Linked DNA regions of Canis lupus familiaris. The protein of the gene in region 1 interacts with the protein of each later gene in a pairwise test. Links are inferred from orthologs where the notes say so. Each region holds a gene or a part of one and is shown on either strand. Other genes may lie near its edges.

The links.
Region 2: the proteins of GAD2 (region 1) and TMEM159 interact in binary tests that used the Homo sapiens proteins (3 or more experiments, as listed by UniProt). The two-hybrid records come from large-scale screens. The link is inferred for Canis lupus familiaris from reciprocal best matches to the Homo sapiens genes GAD2 and LDAF1.

Annotation. Positions count from the first base shown.
Region 1 is NC_049223.1:5,176,742-5,179,921, reverse strand, and holds the end of GAD2 (glutamate decarboxylase 2), read left to right. Parts: intron 1-2,473; coding exon 2,474-2,647; downstream 2,648-3,180. UniProt on the Homo sapiens protein: Catalyzes the production of GABA.
Region 2 is NC_049227.1:24,498,889-24,503,182, reverse strand, and holds the start of TMEM159 (lipid droplet assembly factor 1), read left to right. Parts: upstream 1-1,220; 5' UTR 1,221-1,392; intron 1,393-1,727; 5' UTR 1,728-1,777; exon of another isoform or gene 1,778-1,808; intron 1,809-2,150; exon of another isoform or gene 2,151-2,273; intron 2,274-3,878; 5' UTR 3,879-3,983; coding exon 3,984-4,079; intron 4,080-4,294. UniProt on the Homo sapiens protein: Plays an important role in the formation of lipid droplets (LD) which are storage organelles at the center of lipid and energy homeostasis. In association with BSCL2/seipin, defines the sites of LD formation in the endoplasmic reticulum.

The DNA.
Region 1 (3,180 bases):
CCACCTTTTCTTTATCCATCCATCAATCAAAGGACAGTTGGGCTGTTTCCACAATTTGCATGTTGTAAATAATGCTGCTATAAACATAGGGGTGCATGTATCCCTTTGAATTGGTGTTTTTGTATTTTGAAAGTAAATACCCAGTAGTGAAATTACTGGATTGTAGAGTAATTCTATTTTTAACTTTTTGAGGAAACTCCATACTGTTTTCCAGAATGGCTACACCAGTTTGCATTCCCACCAACAATGCAAGAGGGTTCCTTTGTCTCCACATCCTCATCAACACTTGTTTCTTGTATTTTTTATGTCAGCTGAGGTATGAGGTAAAATCTCATTGTAGTTTTGTTTTCCCCTGATGAGGAGTGATGTTGGGCATCTTCTCATGTATCTGTTGGCCATCTGATACTTCTTTGGAGAAATGTCTGTTCATGCCTTCTGCCCATTTTTTAATTGAATTATTTGTTTTTGGGTGTTGAGCTTTATAAATTAATTATAGATTTGGATACTAACCCTTTATACGATACGTCATTCGCACATTAAGTACTGTGAAGATGAAAACCTCACTATAAACCAATGATTAAGTGTTGATGTTCAAAAATCGCATATTCATAATAGTGTGCTCTTTGAATCAAACTGTTCATTAAAATGAATCCAACTATGATGTGAGGTATAGTCCCCATTTCAAACTGAGTTACTTACTGTGTATATCTAAGTAAGTCTAGAGCTCCCTGATATCAGCCATTCCTGGTTACATATTTGCAACAATAAATTTAAACGATCAGATGTTATATTTACAAATTGTAATGGTAAAAATGTGAATAGATCATACATATAGCTAGACATAAGTTAAATGTATTCCTCTTCCTGGATAGCTATCCCTATTATTCTAGTCTTTATTAACTAATAAGGACTTGCGGAGCCCTCAGGGTACACACAGTGCTATGCTGGCAAATAAAAGAAGTAAAAGACACTGTGTCTGCCCTTCAGTGCTTGCAGTTTCAAAATTATGGATAACTTATATTTTCTTATAAGTAAGAGGACAATAAAGGAATATCCTGTAGACAGAATCTATGGGTAAAGATCAGGTATTTACAACTTAAAAAAGAAAAGATGCTACTGGACTAGGGGAGTCAGGAAAGGCTTTATAATGCTTTATCAAGTCTGTGGTGGAGTCTTGGCATGTGTGTAGGATGCAACCTGGAAGAGAAAGGGGACTCTAATCCAAGACAAGAAGTGTGACACAATAAAACTGAGGACAAGCGTAAAGGAAGAAAAATATGTGTGGCACATTCAAGGGATATTGACTGTAGGTCTTGTCTCAGAGTTGAAGATTGATTTTAGTGACCACTTGGAAATGAATCCTCAGAGCTGAGGGACAAAATACCTTTGTGCTGAGCTAGAGAGTTTGAACTTCATCTCATACACTCTACTGACAGTAATCATTCTCTGATATATATATATATATTCTGCTTTTTGCCACAGCTGAATTCCATCATGATTAAAGAATGTATTTCATAAAATCTTATAAACTGAGATGCAAAAAGGAGAATGAAAAGACATTGGAAAGCTTTAGGGTCTCAGGAAAGAAAATTGCTTTAGGGCCTCAAAAGTCTGCTTATTTTCAGACATCACTTAGTTACCTCTTGGTTACCATTCTCTGAACTATGTTTTATTTCCAGTGTTTTTATATCTACTGAGGTTTTAAAAAAAAAACCCTCCCCCAAATGCTGTATTGCTAAACTATTTAGCCTTGGAACCAACACCCAATTCTTCCCATTCTCCCAAATCCGTAACTACATGGTTGTTAAATAACAAAAACTCCACTGAGTAAATTTTAAAGATCTAACTGGATTTATGAATTGATTCATAAATTGGGCAGCATCCCATCTAGGAAGTAGAGGGAGCTCTAAGGAGCTTATAGAAAAGGAGAGGTTTTTAAAGGCTGGACAAGGAAGTCACAAACAGAACAGAGAATTATTCCAGGTGAGGTCACCTTCCTTTGGGGAGAAGGGTCTTATTAGGTGATTACTTCATGTTTCTCTGGGAGATGGGGAGAGACCATGTGACAGAGTACCATATTGATGCTGACCAGAAGATTCCAGAGTGACCAGTTAAGACTATATTCCTGGGGGACATTGAAAGTGCAATTAGATTAGGTATAAAGCTCAGGTTTGGTGGTGTGGTCTAGCATAAGTGACTCTGTTTGGGGCCTGCAGTTTTCTTTTTCAGAAAGTCAAGGATAAGGGGGCAAGCACCTCAGAGCCTATCATTTATTATTCATTTTATCACCCTCAAGAATTTGGATGTATTAAACTGCTCTTGTCCTCCGATCCCAAAAAAACTTGGAGACAATTCCTTTAGGGGAAATATGAGTCTGGTTGTTTAGTTAAAAGCTAAAAATGCTACTTGATATTGGGTTCTTTGACTAGAAGAGTCCCCAGGGGTCACCATGCAGCTCTGGTCTCTCCCACAGGTGGCCCCAGTGATTAAAGCCCGAATGATGGAGTATGGGACCACAATGGTCAGCTATCAGCCCTTGGGAGACAAGGTCAATTTCTTCCGCATGGTTATCTCAAATCCCGCAGCAACTCACCAAGACATCGACTTCCTGATTGAAGAAATAGAACGCCTTGGACAAGATTTATAATAACATAGCTCACCAATCTGTTTCGATTCTCTAGGTAGACAATTCAGTTGTCACAAACTGTGTGAATGTATTTGTAGTTTGTTCCAAAGTAAATCTATTTCTATATTGTGGTGTCAAAGTAGAGTACAGTTTAAAAATCCAAAAAACATTGCACCTTTTAAAAATCCTTTCCTAAGTTTAGAATACCTCTCTAAAATTAGTGACAAGAGGCTGTGTTCTAATCGATAATGAAAAGCTTAAAATTGTTATAAATACTTCCCTTACTTTTAATATAGTATGCAAATCAAGCTTTATTTTCACTTCAGAGTAGTAGGATTGAATAGTGCCAAATTGCCCCTGAATCCTAAAAGGTTCTTTGGGGTGCAGTCAAAAGGAGAAAGTACATATAAAATGTATGTTGACAATAAAAACTCTTGCCTTTTTCATAGTATTAGAAAAAAATTTCTAATTTACCTATAGCAACATTTCAAATGTATTTAAATACATATAATTTTACAAAAGGAAAATATATATATTAAAAAGAAATCCTATTT
Region 2 (4,294 bases), on another chromosome or scaffold:
AGATACTATTTGGTAGAAGACTGTACCATCGAATCTTTTTGAGTTCCTCCTATACTCCAGATAGGTACTAACTTCTTTACAGCTCTTCTTGCACCTGACCTCACTAAAACCCTGTGACTGTTTCCCAGGCTGCTATTGCTGCAGGTCACAGAGGAAAGGAAGGTCCATCTAGGTCCCTGGATGGATAAGGCCTGAGAACTCTGCAGTAGCAGGCCAAAGCTCAGGCCTGTCATTTTACAGATGAAGCCCAGGCCCAGAGAGGTCACTCACCCAAGGTCACACGGTAAGAGCCAGCCCTGAGATGAGAGCCCAGGACTGTCGGAACCCCCTCCCTCAGACCCTGGTCTTTACCAGTACCTCTATGGCAGTGGTTCTTAACAGAAACTGTGCCCTGTCACAGGATATTTGGCAATGTTTGGGGACATTTTTTTGGTTGTCACAAGTGGGAGGAAGGGGATTACTACTGGCATCTAGTGGGTCGAGGCCAGGGACACTGATAAAAAGTCAGCACAAGGATGCCCCCTCAGTACAAAATTTTCCTGCCCAAAATGTCAATAGCGCTGCCCTTGGAGAAACCCTACTCTATGGGCCAGGATTTGGGGCCAGGGAACATGTGCCTGGCTCTGACGTGGAACCAAGGGCCTTGGGTTTAGACTTTTTCAATTATAAAACGTGGAAATGATAACCTAACCCATCTTTATGGCTCTCGCTGGTTCGTGGCACCTGCGTGAGTCGTAGTAGCTAAAACTTGCCAGTCAGGCCGTACCTCATCGCTGGATGTCCTGGCCTCCAGGATTGCTTCCAGGAGAGGTGGTTCAGGTGTAGGTATTTAGGCAGGGGACGCCCTAAGACGCTGTGCAAGCCGTGCTCAGAGGCCAAGTGCACCTGTCTCGGCGGTGGCCTGTGCACGCTCACTCCAAGCCGAGAGTGTAGGGCAGGCCTCATTTTCCTCAGCTGTATATTATTGAGGGCCTGTCAGGGTGGTTGTAAAATGCTGAGGCGGAGAGCGCGCTGTGTGGAGCTCGCGGCCGGAGGCCTCGCGGCAGCTTCGCGGTCTTCCTCGGGAGGTGGGCGGGGAGAGCCGAGCCCTGAGGGGCGGGGGAAGGGGCGGGGCGAGAGCGGCCGGAGGGCGAGAGCGTTGGAGGGGGCGGGGTCAGGGCGGTGGGGGCGTGGTCAGGGCGTGGAGGGGCGGGGCCAGGGACGTGAGGGGGCGGGGCGAGGGCGGAGGACGGCGGCAGCCTGGGTGGGGCAGGAAACAGGCGCCAGCTCCCGCCTGTGCGCACTAGAGTTCCTCCCTCTAACGTCTCTCCCTGCTCCTCTTCCTCCTCCCCCCACCGCGCTTCTGTGCCTCCGCCTGCAGACCCTGGCTGGACAGCGCGGCCGCCAGGACCGGTGAGATTCGCATCTCGGATGCTAGGGTGCAACGTGCCCGGGCTGGCTAGGTCACCTCGCGGGGAGGGGCATACGAAGCGGCTCGGGGGCATGGGTTGAGAGGGTCTCCTGCGCTGTCCGCAGTTTAGTGAAAAGGAATGTCTCACCCTTCGGAGCCCCCAAGACGGGCTGGGAACACACGCACTTCTTCACACCCACCACTAGATTTGGTAAAAGGGTTGCCAGCGCATCCCACCCCACCCCCCGAGACCTTGTCCCTTCTTGGGAAACCTGGCGGGGGAGTCTCCAAACCCTCTCCCCGAGATTCATGAATATGGGTGCCCTCCTTCCCGCAGGTCTCTCTTCTCTACCGACACCGCGGAGAGGGGCTCTCCAGGGAACAAAGGTGGATTCTTCTCCCCCACATTAATGACCGGGTACTCCACTCCCCCGTGAACGCCCCTTTCTTAGCCTCTGTGCTCTCTCGCGTGCGGACCCTCCCCGTCTGCACCTGCCTCTCTTTCTCTTCCCCTCTGCGCAAGGATCCCTAGAAGCTGGGCGCCTGCTCCACCTAGCGTCTTCGAGGGTTGACCGACTGTAAGCAGATGGGGAGGGGGCGGCCTGGGGCGGCCCGAGGCGCCCAGCTTTCCTTTCCCCCAACCGGAGATGCACCCCCTCTCCCTTCCAGCTGAAACGCTGGGGTTGGCCGTTAACTCTGGGAGGGGCTGGAATGCAAGAGCCGCGGGTCGGATTGGCCAGTGGTCTTTTGGGTCAGCCTGGAGGGCCCGGGAGAAGGCAAGGAACTTGTGAGCCGCGCTGGGGATCCCAGGTTGCCCTCCGCTCCAGAGACTTCTCAGTGCCTGGGAGTTCCCTCTGTAGAGTGGCTGGGGATTGGAAGCCAGGTGGATGTATTTGATGGCTGTGGCCCATGACATTCTACCCATGCTCGTTACCATCGGACTCCCCAAACCGGTCTGGGTGGCCCTTGGGTTCCCTAGACCTCTGGAGACCGGTAATGGGAGCTGGGCTTGTTTCTGTCTGCTGCAGAGATGAGAGTAGGAGAGCTGAGTCCTGGGAACATCCCAAATACGAGATGTGTGCCAGTTGGATCTTCAAAGATCCAAAGGTTTCCTGTTTCACAAACGGAGCTGTAGGAAAGGCTCTCTAGCTGGAGTGACGAAAACGTACTTTAAGTTGCATTTTAGACCCTCTAGGTATTGGTAAAGTAACTTTCTCCCCTTAACTCACATAATTACCGTGTGGTATAAGTCAATATGGTAAACAGGTGTCAGCATCACTTAGTTAATTTTGATCACTATAACAGAATCCTTGAGGCTCTTCTTTTTTTTTTTTTTTAAGATTTTATTTATTCATGAGAGACAGAAAGAGGCAGAGACACAGGCAGAGGGGGTAGAAGCAGGCTCCATGCAGGGAGCCTGGTATGGGACTCGATCCTGGAACCCCAGGATCACTTGCTTGGCTGAAGGCAGGTTCTCAACCTCTGAGCCACCCAGGCATCCCTTTTTTTTCTTTTTACTATCAGTAGTAAGGAGGTCATTTATAAGGGTGAAATTGTGTCTAGCCCTACAGTTCTGGGAAATAAAAAATGAGAATGATATATTTGTTGATATTTAAAATCCAACAAGGTTGAAAAAGAGATCTTAAACAAATTGGTTTTGTAGTCACATGACTTAGGACAGTCCTGGAAATTAAAGGCTGTTGAGTCACAGTGTATAATTGTGGCTAGGTCTGCCCTTGAGACACCTCTCCTGTTAAGAGGACACTTACAAGTCAACAGAGAATGATTTATGGTGCTATAAGGTTGGAAGCCAACCTGTTTAGTGTGGGTAGTCAATAAAGAAGTTGGCCACCATCACTGTTAAAGGTTTTTGGTGGGGGGTGGGGGGAGGCAATGAGGGGCTTGAAATAGTGTATTCAGCTTTCTTGCTTCTATATTCTTTGTAGCAGTTTGTCAGACTGAAAAAATAAGCCCCCAGAGATAATACCATTAACATTTAGGTATTATATGATCTATATCCTTCTAGGTCTTTTATTTTACTATGGAATATAGACATAAAATACATATATTTATGTAACAATATAGGATATCTTAAAAATTTTTTTCACTTATCATGAATGTGTTTTCATGTCACTAACTAGATGTCCACATTATCAACAACTATGTAATACATCTTATGAACTTATCATTATTTAACCAATTTCCTACTGATACACAGCTTCTTTCCAATGTTTTGCTGTTTATTATATATTACACATAGAATTGCACTGTACATCCTTTTTGTATGTTTTGATACACCTATTTGATTATTTCCTTCAGATTACTGAAAAATACATTGTTGAAGGTATGTGTGCTTAGAAATTCTGATATTGCCAAGCTACCCTTCACCTGCACACCTACCATCAATGTGTGAGGATAGTAGAAGCTTTTGTTGAACTAGCTAGGTGAATATTATACTAATGGTTCAAGATTCTTTTTGTTTCACCAGTGACAGCAAGAGACTGGGTGACATGAGAGATTCAACTGTGCCCTGCCCGGGACAGCTTACTGATAGAAGAATTGATCTCTAAAGAGACTGGGCATTGGTTTCAGGATGGCAAAAGAGGATCCTCCGAGTACCTCAAAGGACTTGCAGGAGCTGCAGAAGAAGCTGTCTTTGCTGGTAGAGTCCATCCAGAATAACTCAAAGGTCAGTTTACAATCAGACTGTGTAATGGAAAATCCCCAAATAACAGCAGCTTAAACACCATGAAAGTTATTCTCTCTGAAGTAGAAGAAATTTGGAGGTAGATCAGGAATCTCTGTAATTCACCACTTTGCCATGTGTAAATTGTGATCTTCAAACTCATTGTCCAAGATGGCTGCTAAAGCATTAGCCATTATATTCACATTCCAGGCAATAAG